Schizosaccharomyces pombe: one gene and its partners. Changing the gene in region 1 together with any one later gene gives a genetic interaction. Each region holds a gene or a part of one and is shown in the gene's direction. Other genes may lie near its edges.

Evidence for each region.
Region 2: mutations in urk1 (region 1) and bag102 together harm fitness less than expected from each alone (positive genetic interaction), as found in Schizosaccharomyces pombe (one study listed by BioGRID).
Region 3: mutations in urk1 (region 1) and bun107 together harm fitness less than expected from each alone (positive genetic interaction), as found in Schizosaccharomyces pombe (2 studies listed by BioGRID).
Region 4: mutations in urk1 (region 1) and ypa1 together harm fitness more than expected from each alone (negative genetic interaction), as found in Schizosaccharomyces pombe (2 studies listed by BioGRID).

The regions. Positions count from the first base shown.
Region 1 is NC_003421.2:1,554,380-1,558,475, forward strand, and holds urk1 (uridine kinase/uracil phosphoribosyltransferase), read left to right. Parts: upstream 1-1,619; 5' UTR 1,620-1,727; intron 1,728-1,788; 5' UTR 1,789-2,065; coding exon 2,066-3,430; 3' UTR 3,431-3,534; downstream 3,535-4,096. Other genes in the region: serine/threonine protein kinase Ppk33, read right to left, coding at 3,845-4,096.
Region 2 is NC_003423.3:790,102-793,751, reverse strand, and holds bag102 (BAG family molecular chaperone regulator Bag102), read left to right. Parts: upstream 1-1,668; 5' UTR 1,669-1,872; coding exon 1,873-2,493; 3' UTR 2,494-3,088; downstream 3,089-3,650. Other genes in the region: Tea1-anchoring protein Mod5, read right to left, coding at 1-203, 432-491; protein ksh1, read left to right, coding at 3,512-3,514, 3,553-3,650. UniProt on the Schizosaccharomyces pombe protein: Inhibits the chaperone activity of HSP70/HSC70 by promoting substrate release.
Region 3 is NC_003424.3:412,967-419,004, forward strand, and holds bun107 (WD repeat-containing protein), read left to right. Parts: upstream 1-2,024; 5' UTR 2,025-2,439; coding exon 2,440-2,719; intron 2,720-2,796; coding exon 2,797-5,405; 3' UTR 5,406-5,508; downstream 5,509-6,038. Other genes in the region: rod1 (arrestin/PY protein 1), read left to right, coding at 1-908; SNARE protein Sft1, read right to left, coding at 1,505-1,663, 1,718-1,834; Ctf18 RFC-like complex subunit Dcc1, read right to left, coding at 5,509-5,754, 5,793-6,038. UniProt on the Schizosaccharomyces pombe protein: Required for the ubp9 recruitment to septa and cell tips but also for its enzymatic activity at these specific locations.
Region 4 is NC_003424.3:4,834,407-4,838,125, forward strand, and holds ypa1 (type 2A protein phosphatase regulator), read left to right. Parts: upstream 1-1,788; 5' UTR 1,789-1,988; coding exon 1,989-2,861; exon of another isoform or gene 2,862-2,904; coding exon 2,905-3,009; 3' UTR 3,010-3,184; downstream 3,185-3,719. Other genes in the region: aspartyl metalloaminopeptidase Ape4, read left to right, coding at 1-22; trm7 (tRNA 2'-O-ribose methyltransferase), read right to left, coding at 464-1,297, 1,516-1,539; lip2 (lipoate-protein ligase), read right to left, coding at 3,244-3,719. UniProt on the Schizosaccharomyces pombe protein: PPIases accelerate the folding of proteins. It catalyzes the cis-trans isomerization of proline imidic peptide bonds in oligopeptides.

The DNA.
Region 1 (4,096 bases):
AATAATGTAAAAGAACGATATTAAAAAAAATATTTAATTATTAATTTTTCTCACTTGTCAATTCCTACTCCTGAAGTGAATAAATTAGCAGGTTAAGAATTCGTTCGCCAAGATAGGTGAAAGGAAAGAGAGGATGGAGGTGTGTCAATGTGAAACGAACAAAAGATGGCAAATATTATAAAACGGCTATAGCGTGATATCGTTTGTTAAAATATTAGATTTATTTCAATTCACTATTTTCTAGCTCAATAAGTGCAATTTATCATTACTAAAGGCATGGGTAATATATTACAACAAACGTTGGTAAAAGGAAGATGAGGAATTTAGTCATGTGGTACTCTTTTGTTTATTTTAAAAAGCGTTTTATTTGGTTTAAATTGCAGTTACAGTTTCAATTCTACAGCAAGTTTATGATAAAACTTTTCGAGTAAATGTGATGTGAAATTCAAGGATTTTTTTCTAATCAAATGAGGAGGGGAAGATATCTACTTTAATTTAATAAATCAATTGATTCCATTGCTATCGATACATGGATAATTAATTTGTGGGATTGAGAAGAAATTATGCGAACAAATTATCTAGGCTTAATATTCATGAGTTTCGAGTTTTAAATATGAAGTCAAAATTTGCGCAATTCGAGGTCATCAATGTCATTTTTTTGTGACGATTAGCCGTCAAATATGTTTAACATTGCACCGGCTTCAAATCTTTGCGTTTGATGCATTCACTATTCTATATTTTCACTTCTCTCGATATAGGGAAGAGAAATTTAAGGATTTTGCGTGTGCTAAGTAAGCATGTAAATGGGTTTCTATTCGAAAATGTACGCTTTTTTCAAATTTTTCTACTTTTTCACACCATTAATAGCGGATTACTCTACTTGATGGGTCAAACTGAATATCCTTTATACTATTTTCTAATTTGAAATTAATTGCCTATTACGAACAAAAGCGACGAGTTCTCAATATCATAAAACCTGCCATAAACTTATGTCCATTTACTTGGTTCTTCTGCACAAAAGAAACTTTCATATTCCTTTTTGTCAGTTCTCTTAGGTTTAAAAAAAATGGCAAAGCTACAATCTAAATCTTCGAGCGGCAAAATCATTTATTGAACTTTGAGACGATCTCAACCTAGCTGTTCTTTTTATTTCATCATTTTTGGAAGGTAAAAAATAATTTGAATCTGTTTTTCTAAGAAATGCGTATTAAGTATTAGTCGTGTTGATTTAGTTATTTATATAAACAAAGCAAGATTTCTCTTGCGTTTTTGAATTTGAGCCAATATGTTAAATTTCCTTATTGTCGCCTATTTTTATTAAATACATTTTTAAAGTTAAATTAAATATCAAATTTTGGTACAAGCTTCCAACATGTCACGAATGTTACAATTTTCACATAGTCAAAATTGATTAATTTCGAATATTAATTGCCGGATTTCTTTTAAATCTACATATAATTCATTAATTTAGTAATAGGTATTGCAAAAAAACTTCTCACTTCCGTTCTACAAACAAACTGCTCTTTCTTTATTCCCGATGATTACCGCGGCTCAGGCGCTGACTGAAAAAGTCACAGTGATAATGTTACCAAAGGATGAAAAAACAATGATATTGGATTTACCCTTCTCCAATTTATTGTTTCAACTAGTTTACTAGTTATTTAAAAAGACATTTCGAAAATCTTTCTATTTATGTTAAAATTTCCTAACATTTTTCCTTCCTTTGGGTTCGTATACATATATATATTTTTCTAATGGTATTGCTAACTCGAGATTTGTGATTTATAGAAAAAACTAAGCAAGTTTGAGAAGAGTAAGATAAGGAAACCATTATCATTCTACTTGAATTAATTCTGTTTGAATAAATATCTTTGGCTCTACAAATTGTGGAATATTTTCGTTTCACGCCAAGACAGAATTTACCTTTTAAAAAACGTTAGGTTCACCAATTAGTCTTTTTTTGCTCTACAGTTTTTTTTTTTTTAAACTTTCTTTAGTAATATTTCCTTGGAGGCTAGCATACCTTTTTTTTGGGCTTCTTATTTATTTTATTTCTTTCGTTATTATGCCTGAAGCTTTTGAGCGTTATTCAAGCAACCCAACTTATGAACCCCCATGGCGTAAAGTGCGATTTATTGGAATTGCAGGACCATCGGGTAGTGGGAAAACCTCGGTGGCCCAATTGATTGTAAAGGCGTTAAATCTTCCACATGTTGTTATTTTATCCCTTGACTCGTTTTACAAATCTTTGAATGCAGAGCAGAAGAAGAGAGCATTTAACAACGACTATGACTTTGATTCCCCCGAAGCCATTGATTGGGACTTGCTCTTCGTAAAACTGCTAGAACTTAAACAAGGCCGTAAAGTTGACATTCCTATATATAGCTTCAATGAGCATAATCGGCTTCCTGAGACCAACACGTTATTCGGAGCAAGTATCATTATTCTCGAAGGGATTTTTGCTTTATACGATGAAAAGATTCGCTCTCTCCTTGACGTCTCGGTCTTTCTAGATACAGATTCGGACGTGTGTCTCTCTCGTCGACTGAATCGCGATATCAACTATCGAGGAAGGGACATAGTTGGCGTTTTGGAACAATATAATAAATTTGTCAAGCCAAGTTATGAGAACTTCGTTAGGCGTCAACTATCTTACACTGATCTTATCGTTCCTCGTGGCCGGGACAATAAATTGGCAATTGATATGGTGATTAATTTTATTCGTAGAACACTTTCTATACAAAGTGAAACTCATGTTAAGAACATTGATAGTTTACAGCAAATTGTACCAACCATTCCCCATTTACCCTTAAATTTAGTTCAGCTTAAAATTACGCCTGAAATATCTGCCATCAGGACTATTCTTATAAACAAAAATACACACCCTGATGATTTACAATTTTTTTTGAGCAGAATTGGCACCATGTTGATGAATTTGGCAGGTGATTCGCTTGCATATGAAAAGAAAACGATTACTTTGCATAACGGAAACCAGTGGGAAGGTCTACAAATGGCAAAAGAGCTTTGTGGTGTTTCAGTTTTGCGATCCGGCGGAACTCTTGAAACAGCTTTATGTCGTCAATTTCCAACAGTGTGTTTGGGTAAGATTTTGGTGCAAATCAATAAAGTTACTCAAGAACCAACTTTACATTACCATAAATTGCCCCGTGGCATTGCTACCATGAATGTTGTTTTGATGGCTTCACATTTAACTACACATGCAGATGTCTTAATGGCCACGCAAATTTTAGTGGATTTCGGGGTCCCAGAGGAAAACATTATAATTGTGGTCTATGTTTGTTACTCTGAAAGTATTAAAGCGCTGGCTTATATTTTCCCAAAGGTTACCATTGTTACAGCATTTCTAGAAAGTGTTGCTGAACCCGTAGTCGGTAGATTGGATATCGAAAAAGTGTATTATGGATGCTGATATAACATTTATATGCGTGGATATAAAAAACAAAAGTTTAATGTCTGTTAGGAGTTTAGTGTACATTTTATTAAAGAATTCCCTTTGTTTGGATTATTACTTGCAGAAAACTACGGATAACAGGTGTTTGGTGATATAAATGTCATATTAATTAATTCGTGTAATTTCGTATCGCTCGATTAGAATAGTTCAGAAATTCAAAGTTATAAATAATGAAGTTTGAAATAGTTTAAGTGGAAACGCAGTCAAAATTTTTCCAGGGAAAATAAGAGACGAGACTATCAGGCAAGCAAAAAAAAATAGTAAAAAAATAGCAATACTATGTAACACATGAACCGAAAGACAAATCGTAGCTGAGAGAATCTTTGAATAATCATATATATTAATTAGTTTTGTAAACATTGAATCATTAGTTTAAAAAGTAGCCTCCAAATCTAAAATTGGGTCAACATATACTTTTCCAGATTTCGGACGGAAAATAGGAGTCAGGTTGCCCTTGGAAACGGTCTCCAAAGAGATAGAGCAAAAAAATGGATGTGTTTGAAGTTTCTTGCTGGAGTGACCCAACCTCTTCTTAATGTCCATTTCTAGAAAAGCCATAACAGCTGAACGAGCATCTTTCGAGATAGTAGTTAGCTTTTTATCCCGAGAAATATGAAGAGCAGA
Region 2 (3,650 bases), on another chromosome or scaffold:
CGATTTACGTATGCATCTCCGTCTGGATCTAGTACACTTGAACCAGTATCTTGCTTGCTGCTTGGCAATGGTAAAGAAAGACCTCGTTCAAAACTATCGGTATTATTTCTCCGGATAGCAGGAGTAGAAGGAGCACTTGTACCTACATTTCTATTATCGAATTGAAATCCGACGGTAGTGTTTGGTCGAGGTTTTTTTGATATCTAATCATTAATGCCAGCAAGCTGAACCCTTAACTAGTGAAAAGGGGGCAGCCCAAGCAACACTTGTTAGCAAATCATTATTTCAAACAGGCAAGATAGGGTAGTACTCGGAAAGAAAGGCTCCATTCAACAAATTGAACAGCTGCAATTTGCGTACAGGTGCAACTTTCATGTCTTACATAAAGAATAAGAGAAACTACCTCTGATCTTCTTAAAAAATTAGCATACCTCGGATGTCTCAGGTCTCCAAAAAGAAGGAATAGCAGGGCTTTCAGATAAAGCCGACATGCAATCAAATAAAAGAAAAAGATCAATTAGAGCCAAAAAAGAGAGTAAAAAGAATATCCAAAACTGGGAATTGGGAAACCGGTGTTTGGCTAACAATTAGTAGTACGCGGATCGCGACGCTAATTTCCTCAGTTGAGCTGGTATCGTGTTAAATATTTTGTAAAAGAATATTTCCCTCTTTTTAGTAATGTTCATGGAACAATTGGTGAAAAACATAATATTAAAAGGTCACAAGAAAATTTTTATAGCTAAAATATTCTTTTAAAAATAATTCGAGCAAGTTCTCAGGCAGGTGTAGGAAATAGATGGATATTTAATAGAAATTACCCTTGAGAGCAAATAGAGCTGATTCCTTTATCCATGTAAGATGGAAACATAACTTTTGACGTCCCCAAGAACATGCACTCTTAGATAGGTAAGCACATCAGTGATGGAGTAAGTGTTGATATATCCAGGTATTGCAGACGAGTAACAATAATGAAAGTTGAAATGGAGAATTGTTTACAGCATGATATCCTGTTCTTCAATTTTTATGCAATTTGAGTCCCCAACAATTGAATCGATCAAATGGGAGAACCCACTAAATTATTGAAGAGTATTTTGAAAAAATAGTTGAGGTATAAAATACCCAAGAATTCAACCATTAAACGATAAAATCAACCGAGAATGCGCTTTTGCTGATATGAATTTATATGAAACTTCTTCTTTGCTTTTCAGAATAAAGTTATACATACAAATAAACAATTATTTACGCCGAAAGCAATCAAAGATCCTTAGAGTATTACTTATTCTCTTAAAAAAAATTAGAGCATTACTACTTCTGGTTAAAGTCAGATTCACACTTTGTTCAATTATCAAACACATCCCATGGATTGCTTTTTTCGGTACCTTCCTTGTCAAAGAAACAAAAATTAAACTTAAAAAGAGAAAAAACAAGATCTTTACGAAACTGAATTAGTTTAATTTGATGCATGAACGTAAATGATAACTAGATATTTGAGGTCAACATGTCAGTCTACTGCAGCAGAAGTTTTAACAAAAACAAAAAGAATAAGATTTTGGCAACAAACAGCTTTTTTTTTTTTTAATTATCATTTTTCGGACTTATCATGTTTGTATAGGAGAAACTCACATTTCAAAGAATTCATAACACTATCATCTCCACAACCTACATAGTAACCACCAAATGCGAAATTGGTTCGAGAGCAACTCACCAATTTAAAACATCCTCTCTCTTATCTAGCAATTAAATTTTTATATACCAGTTCCTTCATTTACCAAGGAAATCTGATAAAGACCCAGACTTATTTAGTCTTGCTTATTGACCGGTTTATCACTTCTTCATTCATTTGACTTTAGGAAAAAGCATCGAGAAATCAACATGTCTTTTTTTACCCAGTTGTGTTCTATGGATAAAAAATATTGGATCTCTCTAGCTGTATTGTCAGTTACTGTTTTGATTAGCGCATTATTGAAAAAGAGAGCTACTGAAACCGAAGATATTGTCGTTGTTCATTACGATGGCGAAAAGTTGAATTTTGTGTTGCGACAACCAAGGCTGAATATGGTTTCTTACACTAGTTTTCTTCGTCGCGTGTGCAACGCATTTTCAGTAATGCCCGACAAAGCGTCTCTCAAGTTAAACGGGGTGACCCTCAAGGATGGTTCACTTTCCGACCAAAATGTGCAAAATGGAAGTGAATTAGAGCTCGAATTACCCAAACTGAGCCCGGCAATGCAACAAATTGAAGCATATATAGATGAGCTTCAACAGGATCTCGTCCCTAAAATTGAAGCCTTCTGCCAATCGTCTCCCGCTTCGGCACAAGATGTTCAAGATTTGCATACACGCCTTAGTGAAACATTGTTGGCTAGGATGATAAAATTAGATGCTGTTAATGTTGAAGACGACCCAGAAGCTCGTCTTAAAAGAAAAGAAGCTATTCGTTTATCTCAACAATATTTGAGTAAACTAGATTCCACCAAGAATCAAAACAAATGAAAAATGTGTTATAATTTAACAATTCTTAGTTGCTTGGGAGACGATGGTTCCGTCGGCTATGGTTTTTTGGATATGTAAAAACTGATTGACTAAACAACTCCTACAATATTTTTCCGTTTCTAACAACTTCTATACCAAGGTTCTGCAAACAACTTGTAGCACCCAATTTTAAGTTTTTATGCTGGCTTGAATTTTTGTTTTTCTTTTTTTGATACCGCTTGCTCCTCAACTATTAAACTGTTCTACTCTCAATTTATACATAATCTTTAAGCATTCATAATGCCATATTTTCTATTTTTGTCGTTACAACTGTTTTTTCTTACATTTGCTCAACTGCAGCCGTATCATTAATTTTTGTAAACATTCGTCATTGCTTTTTGTTTCTTCCGGAAGGTTGGATAGTCATAGTGTTACAAATTCAAAATACTTTTTCTTATGATAAATGGATTTCAAAACTGTATACCAATTCTAGCATATCAACTCCACATCCTTTACTTCCTTCGTAATCACTTAACAAAAACTCAACGTTCCAATGTTTTATACCATTAATATCGAAGAGTGAAATTTAGAACAGCTGGTTATTTTGAAATTTAAGAACCATGTCTATTTAAAACTAAGGTTAAAAGTATTTTATCATTATTATTTGACTTGACTGCATCGTCAATGTATTATGTAGACTTATTAAACGTTACTCAATATTTATGTAACATGTTTTCCCCTTTCCCATTTATAAATAGTTTAATTTCCTCAAATACTTTATACAGCCCTCCTGAAAAGTCATACATATATTAGCATTTGTCCACCAACATTCAATATATTTTTAATATTATATATCGGTATTTATCGGTGTATCAGAACACGAATAATATGCGTTGTAATTCGTAATAAATATTTACAACGTCTTGTGTGTCGTAATGTGAACAAGTGAGCATACTTCAAGTTCATTGTATGTTTCATATATGAACACAGAAATTACATGCTTTTTAAAAGCTGAAAATTTTAATCAGAGTATAATAAAATGGTAACTATTTTTGTTTTAAGACAAACATTAACCGTTAGACTGCCATTTTTAACTTTGAAAGTTTGCTTTTCGTTATACTATTAACGATCTGCACATGTACTTATTTACACCGTCAATTCCCTGCTTTATTAGAAAA
Region 3 (6,038 bases), on another chromosome or scaffold:
TTTCCGTTTCCCTAAGAAATCCTGATGGCCATATATCAGAATTAAGAGCTGCATTACCTGTAGTCTTGATGATACCTCCTCAATTATTTGGCGATCGTGCCGAAGTAGAGTCGTTACGCGAGAATTTTGAAAGTTTTAATCAGCCTTTACCTAGCTATCAAAACAGCATGTATGATCGTCTTTACGATGGTTTGAGCTATTCCAACCTTGATACACCTCTCCCTAGTGGCGCAACTACACCAAGGCGACGCGATTCTATGGAGCCCACCTATGCTTCTAATGAAGCTCATAGGCGACAACTCATTGCTGGTTTGACAGAGTTGGCTCTACAACAACAACCGCAAGGAAGGAGCCCCAACGAACATTCACCGTCAAATCATCCTGAAGATTTCCCGCCTTCTTTCAGTTTAGGCTCTAATCCATCCAGTGGAGCTGCCTCTGCTGTAATTACTAGAAACCCTTCAGAAACTAGTTTGGCAGATCTGAGCAGAGTCCCTTCTTATAAGGAAGCAACAAGATCAGCCGTTCCATTAGAATCACCCTTACAATCAACATTACCTAGTTATGAAGATGTTGCACGAATTGAGCACCTTTCACGTCCTCCATCACCTGGTATCGTTACTCCACCACAACGTACATCTCCTTCATTTTTTGTTTCTCCAACTGAAAGTACACGACAATCCTTGGATAGTCGTAGGTCATTCGAACACTCCACATCTTCTTCTTCGGGTATAAGCCCATCTCACAGTAGTGCTTCTTTAGCTCATCTTTCTCAAGCCTCCAATCCAAATGGATCGTCTTCTGCCCCGCATAGGCCCACATCAGCTCGTGTAGGAAGTCACCGAAACGCACTAGACGCTTTAAGACGGGCGCGTATGCTTCCATCTGGATTTTCAAGAAGAAATTGAAGTTTTGAGCACTATTTTTAAATTTTTGCGCAAACATCGGAAAAAGAGTATTCATTACCTGTACTTCCGTACATTTGAATGCTGTGTTCTTAAAAAAGCCTAAATCAATACAAACATCTCATGGTCTGCATGCACAAAGCTTGAACGTGAAGCTAAGGTGTTAAAATTTTTATTATTATTTATTTTTGTGCCCTTCCTTTTGATCTTTTTTTTTTTTTTTTTGCCGGTTGAAGGTGAATGAATACTTAGTTTGTGGCACAATGTCATGATTCTATTCAATTAGTACTGCGTCTCTTTGCTTAAAACTCTTTCCTAAAAGTGAGGAATATCAAGCTTAATATGGATATACAGTCATAATTAAATTTTTTATTATTTTTACTTTTATGGTGGACTTATTGAAATTTCGAGGAAGGAGTAGTATTTCGTTAAGAATATTTCATGTAATTCTGCGCTTATATTTTCAAATTTATCTTCAGAATATTCATCGATAAATTTATTGCCTATAAGAATTCAAAGCTTGTACATTTTATAATTTTGAAGCAGGAGGTTATGTCATTATATCCGTTCCTTTATGTAGCATTCGCTTTCATGTCGTGTTAAAAAAACCATTTGGATGCATAGTAGATTATTAGTATACTCCCTACGATTGCCAGCACCATTGTCATGATTCTTCGTCGTCCGGCACTTCGAACCACACGGAAGAAATTTTCGGTGGATTTTTTAACAGAATTTGAAAGTCCTGAAAAGCTTTCAGTCTATAATAATACAGGTTAGGTAAAAACTCAAATTTTTTTTTTTAAATTACATACAGCCCGATCAATTCGAGTATAGTCATTGGCACGGGAATAAATATCGTAGGTTACGTTTTTCAAAGAAGAAACCTGCCCAGACAGAGTTTCCAAACGCCGCTCATTTTGATCATTCATTATAGAAATAACTTTTACAAAAATGAATGTACATACGTTAGCATCTTTCTATATCACTTGGAGTACTACCAAAATTTAACGACATTTAGGACGTGGTGATAAATCCTTTAACGAATCTCCTAACTTGATTCTATTTTCGTCGAGCTCAAACATAATGTTATCTACAATTCTTAGCATCAGCCGCCTAATTATTGCTTTATCAAATGCCAATATCGATCGGACTACTTATTAGTAGGTAAATGGTTTGGAAGTTCATCGTTTCCATCCATTTTTAATGAGCAGTAGGATCCGTTCTTTAACATCTGAGTTATTTGAGGAATTGCTATTCATCGCTAAGTCAAAACATATAATATATTTGTATAGGTACTCGCTACCAAAATATTTGGATCCATTACTGTTTCCTGTTTCCAAGTAAAAGGGTTTATTTATCCGCTGCGTTTTAGACTCAGGACACACTATCTTTCTGCAATACTTTTGAACCTGAATTCATTCAATAAATTGAATTCGACATCATATAATATAAATTTTTATTTTTTACGTTTGAATTGGATTTTTTGTTTATAATTGCATTGTTTTAAGAGATTAATAATTCATTTATTGTTCTCATGAGTGTTCGGAAACGGTACAAGGTTACTTATGTTCTTGATTCCTGTAACGATCAACTAGGGCACCGTTTGGATGCTAATTGTCTAGTGCTAGGTCGGTACTTTTCAGAACAAGGGTCAGCACCAGTTACTAGAGCACTTTACAGTGGTGGCCGAGATGGACAGCTTTTCGGTTGGGACATCGGGTATGATTATGGTAAAGCTTCCCAGCCCTTAGCCAAAATCCAGGCTCATTCTGCTTGGGTAAATGATATAGCTTTAACACATGATTCCGAAGGAGGTAAGCCTTTGAAAAATTTAATTATCTCTGGAGAATAGCGGTAGCCTTATAGAAATTGACGTTCTAACATTTATTAGTGATATCTTGTTCTTCTGATTCAACGGTGAAACTCTGGAAGCCACATGTCTTGAATGCTTCTTGTTTATCAACAATTGGCGAGCATACCGACTACGTAAAGCGCGTAAGCATTCCCAAATATTCCAAGAGTCCGTTAGTCGCTTCGGGTGGGTTGGATAAAAGGATAATTGTATGGGACTACAACGTAGGTCAAGAAGTTATGCGATTTGAACAGTTACCTGACTGTTCTCTTGTTGTTGGTCCAAGATCTGGTGTTTACTCGCTGGCAGCGAATAACAACATAATTGCTAACGGCGGACTACAAAAAGACATTCAGTTATGGGATTGTGTTTCCAAGAAAAGGATTACAGATTTAGTCGGTCATACTGACAATGTTCGAGATATTCTAATTAGTGATGATGGCAGAACAATTCTCACAGCCTCTTCAGACGCTACAATAAAGCTTTGGTCTCTAAGGGCGCAAAAATGTTTATTCTCTTTCATAGCTCATTCAGACAGTGTATGGGCATTATATTCTGAGCACCCAGATTTAAAAGTATTTTATGCTGGTGATCGCTCAGGCTTGATTACTCGTACTGATATAAGAAACCAGCCTAACAACCAAAGCTGTACTGCAATATGCAAGCAGGATGCTCCTGTCTCTGACATTGTTGCTCGTCAATCTTTCATATGGAGTACTAGTCGTGATGGCTCCATTCTTCGTTGGAAGGATGAGCCCCTCTTTAATCAGGACGTGGGAGCAGCATTATCTAAGCATACCTCATCTCATCTTTCTGTATCATCGGACTGTCCCTCGAGACATTCTTCTGACATACGAAATCATAGCTGTCCAACATTATATCACGACGATGCTGAGGATATATATTATGATTTGCATCATACTGAGAGCTATTCTAACATCAATTTAACCAAAACCCCTGATTATGTTATTCATGGTGGTATTGGTTTGTTAAAATATCGAATGTTGGGTGATCGAAGGCATGTCTTAACTGAAGACGCTGTCGGCAATAAATGTTTGTGGGATATACTTGCTTGTAAGCAAGCCGGGGAATTTGATAAGTCAGAAGATTTTGAAAAGATTGTTCAAAGTTTGGATACTGTTCAAGCAATACCTAGGTGGGCTTCTGTTAATTGCCTTTTGGGGATTCTTGCTGTTACTCTTGATGAAAATCACTACATGGATGCCGAAATTTATGCTGATGAATGTCCTCTTCTGAAGGTTGATTCCCCTTCTGATAAAAGAATAAACTTAGGGGTGTGGATTTTAAAAAATTTATTTCGTGAATTTATTGATGCCGAGCTTCATCGTGATTTAAAATTTAGACAAAATTTAGATGTTGTAAGGTCTGAAGCTAAGAAGCAGATAGAAGCCCAGAGAGAAGAAGCAAGAAAGGGAAATGTGAATATGCCATCAGCTTTGTCTCCATTGAGGATTCGATCTCGTCCATCACCTTTATCTCTTCCTCCAGAACCTTTACTTTCTCCTACTATAGATTATTCCGCTACCCCATTCCCCCTCGAGCCTCCCCCCGAAAGTCCTGGTCCGTCTCTTCAAATTCCATCAAACAACCCCGTTTACACAAATTTAACAGATACAGATTCTATGATGGGTGCGCCAGATTACTTTTCGATCCCCGCCAGGCAAAATCGTAACAGAAAGCCACATACTGAGGTAGTTGGATCCCCTACTGTTGTGAGAACGAAAGAGATAATTCCCCCCAAAGTAACTCGTGAAGGTTCATTTATGGGCAGACTTAAAAAACTTGGAAGATCAAAGTCATCCAAATCATTACAAACCGATTTTATGAAAGCTTCTGTAGAGAGAGCTGCGTCAAGCCGCGTTTTCAGTACCGGGACTTCGGTAACTTCTCCGCAAGCATTGTCTAAAACTAATAATACTGTTAATAATGCTGCAAATACAGAAAATAACACACTAGCTAAAGATAAGCAACAAACTTCAGAGGCATCATCACCTGGTACCCCGCGAGAGCTGAAAACGACTGGTGAGTTGATTGAAGATCTTCATGAACAATATGTACATTTTAAGGATAAAGACACCGTTCTTAGTTTAATGAAACCACCAAACGATGATACGTTTCCCATGTTAAATCTTTCGAGTCAGATTACTGTTATCATCAGCGAAGAATCTCCTGAAGCCGGTAATTCTCGTGACATATATCGTTCTACTCTTGAGAACATGGCTGACGATATTGACTTACTTGAAAATATTATGCCCTTTTGGCTTGGAAGATTACTGTTATTAAACGAATTTCCTTCTAAAACTGCCCCTACTGTTAATTTTACTCTTCAGCCTTTTCCTGGAAGTGGTTTACCGCTTATTGTAAATGAAAACACTCGTTTAAGTGCTAGTGCTATGCTTCGTGCTCAGAAAATTATGGATTATAGCTATAGCAAGCTTAGCCAACAAAGAAAGGATGTATCATCCCTTCAATTTAGATGCAAAGATGTCGTCGTTACCCCCAAAATGACATTGGCAACTGTTAAGGCTCGAATTTGGCGATCTGGAGACGACGTTGTCTTTCATTATGATGTTGCTCCTAGATCTGTTTCAGAAATTGTTGATAAAACCCAGAGTCTTAATATTTAAAACTTAAGTTTGATTAAAATTTTAATTGATTTCATAATCCTGTCGAAAATAATGTACAATAAAATCAAGTTTTCAACCTGTATAGTACCGGCCAAATAAGGTTTTACCATGTCCCTCTAGAATTAATGTAAACACCGTCCCTACTGGTTTGTTTTCGCCCATATTTCAATATAAGAGCTTCAACTCTTGATTTCGACAAGGCAAGATCTTTAACGAAACTCCAAAGTTCTTCATATAACCATTTCGACTTAAGTTGAAACAAAGATTGAAACCGCCTACTTGGTTCTCTCGGTAACTGATCTCCTGATAAATACTGAATCGTATTTGGGGTATCGTGAAAATAATAACCCTAAAGAGTTTTAGCATTAGCTGACTAAAATGCCCTACCTTTAATAAATTCAAAGAAGGAAGTCCTTTACAAGGATACGGAAGACGATTATCCCATAACTGAATGAACTCATCGGAGCTTATACTGTTGATGCCTTCTAACAAAAATCGCCCATACCAAAAAGTCGTCAACTCTAAATCGATATTGAATTTTTTAGGTAAGACATTGTCCTTAATGGGTGAAGAGATACTTTCAAGAACACAAATTACTGAATCCCAATCAAATTCGTCATCCATAGCTGGCTT
Region 4 (3,719 bases), on another chromosome or scaffold:
AAAAATCATTATTGATGAATAGTTTACCAAGTTTGTTTATGTCTTACACCTCATGATACTATGGGTTCATAAGAACGCCATGAAATTTACCGAACTCGTATCTGTTGGCCGTGCTATGAGTAGTACTAGTTGCCTCTCTTATAGTTATGAAAATGATATCCACATGACAATTATAATCATAACCCCATGATTTGCTATAGCAAGGTATAAAGTTAAACATGACTAGCAAGTCTTTCAACGAAAGCATGTGTGTATCAAAAGTAATTGATTTAGATAAAAATTCATAAGAGGAAATTCTGATTATAAGTATACCGAACACATCCTGCTTTCTTTAATTTTTTTATGAAAAAAGAATGATAGGTTCAAAAATAGATTATACCTATATAATATACAATAGTAAAACCCACTGCTAAATTAAACGAAAGAAAAGATTAAATAAAAAAGAGACAATTGGAATAATAGGTTACGACATCATCTTGCTATGCTTCAATTCGATAGCTCGTTTATAAGGAGGAGCGGTTGGAGGTTGTATAACGTCTAAGGTAGCCTTTTTCATATTTATTTCAACGGGATAAGTAGCGTCCGCATCATAACCATCAAGGTCACCACATGCAATAAATGGTGCAATCTCATGAGCATTGGTTGGATCGATTACACATAAAGGTTTTGTTAAATCGGGTTGAAAATTAGAAGGGGGGTTAAAATCTTCACAAACGACAAAGGACTCGATAGAGCTAGCACGAGAGCTTCTTGGTTTAGCACAAGAAACTTTTCGAAACATCAAACGAAGCTGAGAGTATAACAGTGAAACATCTCGTCCACGAAAAATTTTTGCAACAAATTTCCCACCAGGCTTTAAAACACAAACCGCTAAATTAAATGCAGCTAACAATATCTGTGCTTGAATATATTCATCTAGGTCGTGCAAACCAGTAACATCTGGGGCACCATCACTAACTACGAGATCAGCCGGTTCATTACCAAAGTGAGACAAAATAATTGAAAGGGTGTTGGGATGAGTAATGTCTAATTGCAGGGTGCATACCCCATCGATTGGTGCCATGGGTTGAAGATCAACAGCAACAATCATAGGTTTCTCATCTGCGGCAATGGAAGTATCAATGTTTTTGAGTAACTCACGAGACAAAACTTGAGACCAAGACCCCGGTGCAGCACATAAGTCTACAACTCTTTTTGCTCCTTCAAATAAATTGAACTGTTCGTTTAATTGGAGCAATTTGAAAGCTGAGCGGGCTCTCCACCCTTGTTCCTTCGCCAGACGATAATAGGCATCTCTCTAAAAAAGTGTAAAGTTAGTATTTTAACAAAATAAATAGTTAAATAATTATTTAGCAATAAAAAAAAAATGAAATAATAAACTAAAATGTTTCTATATGCGACTGAGAAACATTAAAGTTTACACATTAATATACGATATAACTTCGATAAAATTAACGTAAACTTTTCGCTACAAAGTTAAGTATTTACAAGGTTTCAGTAACGCACGAGACATACCTTATCTTTGCTGCTTCTCCCCATTTGTTTTTCAGTTTGGTAAAAACTGGTTGAAATTATTATATTCGTTTCTTGCATCGATTGTATTGAATAAACATATCGTTAAATATTGATTAGGAGATAATTATTTCGGTAGCGTATTGTTATGAAGTGGTTCGAATTAACATATGGATACATCACTATAAAGATTTTAGGATATAATCACATCCATAGTACTAATTATCGTTAAACTAATCTTAATCAAGTTATTGAATAAGCTAAATGCTTCTTCTCGAATACTGCTATTATACTCTATCTTGATGAAAGCAATATCAAGCTGTTTTTAAATGCTGTTATAGTTGCTGTTATATTCTTTAACTTGGTCCTGGTTTTTTTTAATAAAGAGTCGTTCATCAAAGCCTGTAACTTAGTGAGTGTCGTAAATCTATTGGCGTATACGCGAACTTGATTGATTCATTGTTTATTGCTTTACAATGCAAGTCGTAGATGAGAAAACAATACTAGAGCTTGAAAATGAAAGGTTTGATGAAAGTTCACAGTTTAAAACTCCCGAAAAACTAATCGTGGAGGCGAGCGATATGACGGCGTTTCGACAATCGAAAGCATATTATCGAATTTTTGATTTTTTACAGCGTCTCAATATTGCATCTGTGGGTGTGAACGATTATCATGTGGAATACTCAACAAGAGTTGAAAAGTTAGTACGAATATTGTGTAGAGTTAAAGAAATTACTAAAACTGTACCACCTGCATCAGGTCGGCATCGGTTTGGTAATCCTGCTTTTCGAATATGGCACGAAAAGCTACGTGACTCCGCCTCTCAAATTATGGACATCATTATTCCTGATTCATTGAGTAAGGCAAAAGTGGAGTTACTGGACTATTTTTTGGGATCGTTTGGTAATTCTCAAAGAATTGACTTTGGTACGGGTCATGAGTTAAATTTTTTGGGTTTTATTAAGGGCTTGGACTTGCTGGGACTTTTAGATGCCGCAGATTATAAAGCTATCGCCTTGTACATAACCCATGTTTACTTGGAAGTTTGTCGTGAGCTCGTTCAAACTTATCGCTTAGAGCCTGCTGGCTCACATGGAGTTTGGGGGCTTGATGATCATTTTTTTATTCCTTATATTTTTGGTTCTGCCCAACTTGCTGATAAGGCATCATCTTCCATCATAAAGCCTGATGCTATACTTAACAAAAAAATAGTGGATGAAAAAGCTAATAGCAACTTGTATTTTAGTGCTATCAAGTTTATAAACGTGATGAAAAAGGGCCCATTTTACGAACATTCCCCAATATTGTATGATATAACCGCTGTTCCTATATGGTCAAAGGTCAATCAGGTATGTTAAGAAGTGTGTATTTATTAAGCTAATTACTTTCAAGGGATTGATAAAAATGTACGATGTGGAAGTGCTGAGCAAATATCCTGTTGTTCAACACTTTCATTTTGGAAATCTCTTTCCGTTTAACCCTTTAGTTGCAAAGTAGTTTAACTTTAATCTTTCGTGCAATTTCAAAAACAAATAGTCACTGTTATTAATGTTATGTTTTATTTATTGTATCTTTTATGGTTGCTGATAAGCTATTTTATAGGGGCCAAAAGGAAGGAAAGCCCGCAAATTTACTGAAAAAATTTTTAATAAACCAAATTATCGCAAGAATAGCATTACTGTTATTGCATTATATTTTTTATAAGTAATACTGTTTCTAATACATTTAAATTTATTTACTCATTAAAAAGCTATCAAGGTTATTTACCAGTACCTTCTCTACAGACTTTAAGTCAGTAAAAACTCCTTGGTCTTTAAAACTGGTAGTGTTTTTTCCATATAATCCGCAACCCACAATGTAATTGAAATACTTAAGATCCGTACTAACATTGAGCGCAAGACCATGACTAGTAATATTTCGGCGTAAATGAATACCAATTGCTGCAATTTTATCGTTTTCTGTTACCCACACACCGGTGTTTTTTGTTGTATGAGCTTTTTCGATGCCAAAGCTTTTACATGTTGCTATAATCGCTTGCTCTAGCCTTGACACATATTCACGTGGACTTAATCCAAAGGACTTCAAATCAATAATAGGATATGCAAGTATTTGACCAGGACCATGAAATGTAGTTTGCCCACCACGCAATGCTTTAACAACTTTAGCCTTAGGGAAGCCTTTGGTAAAATTAATTGAAGATTCCCTTC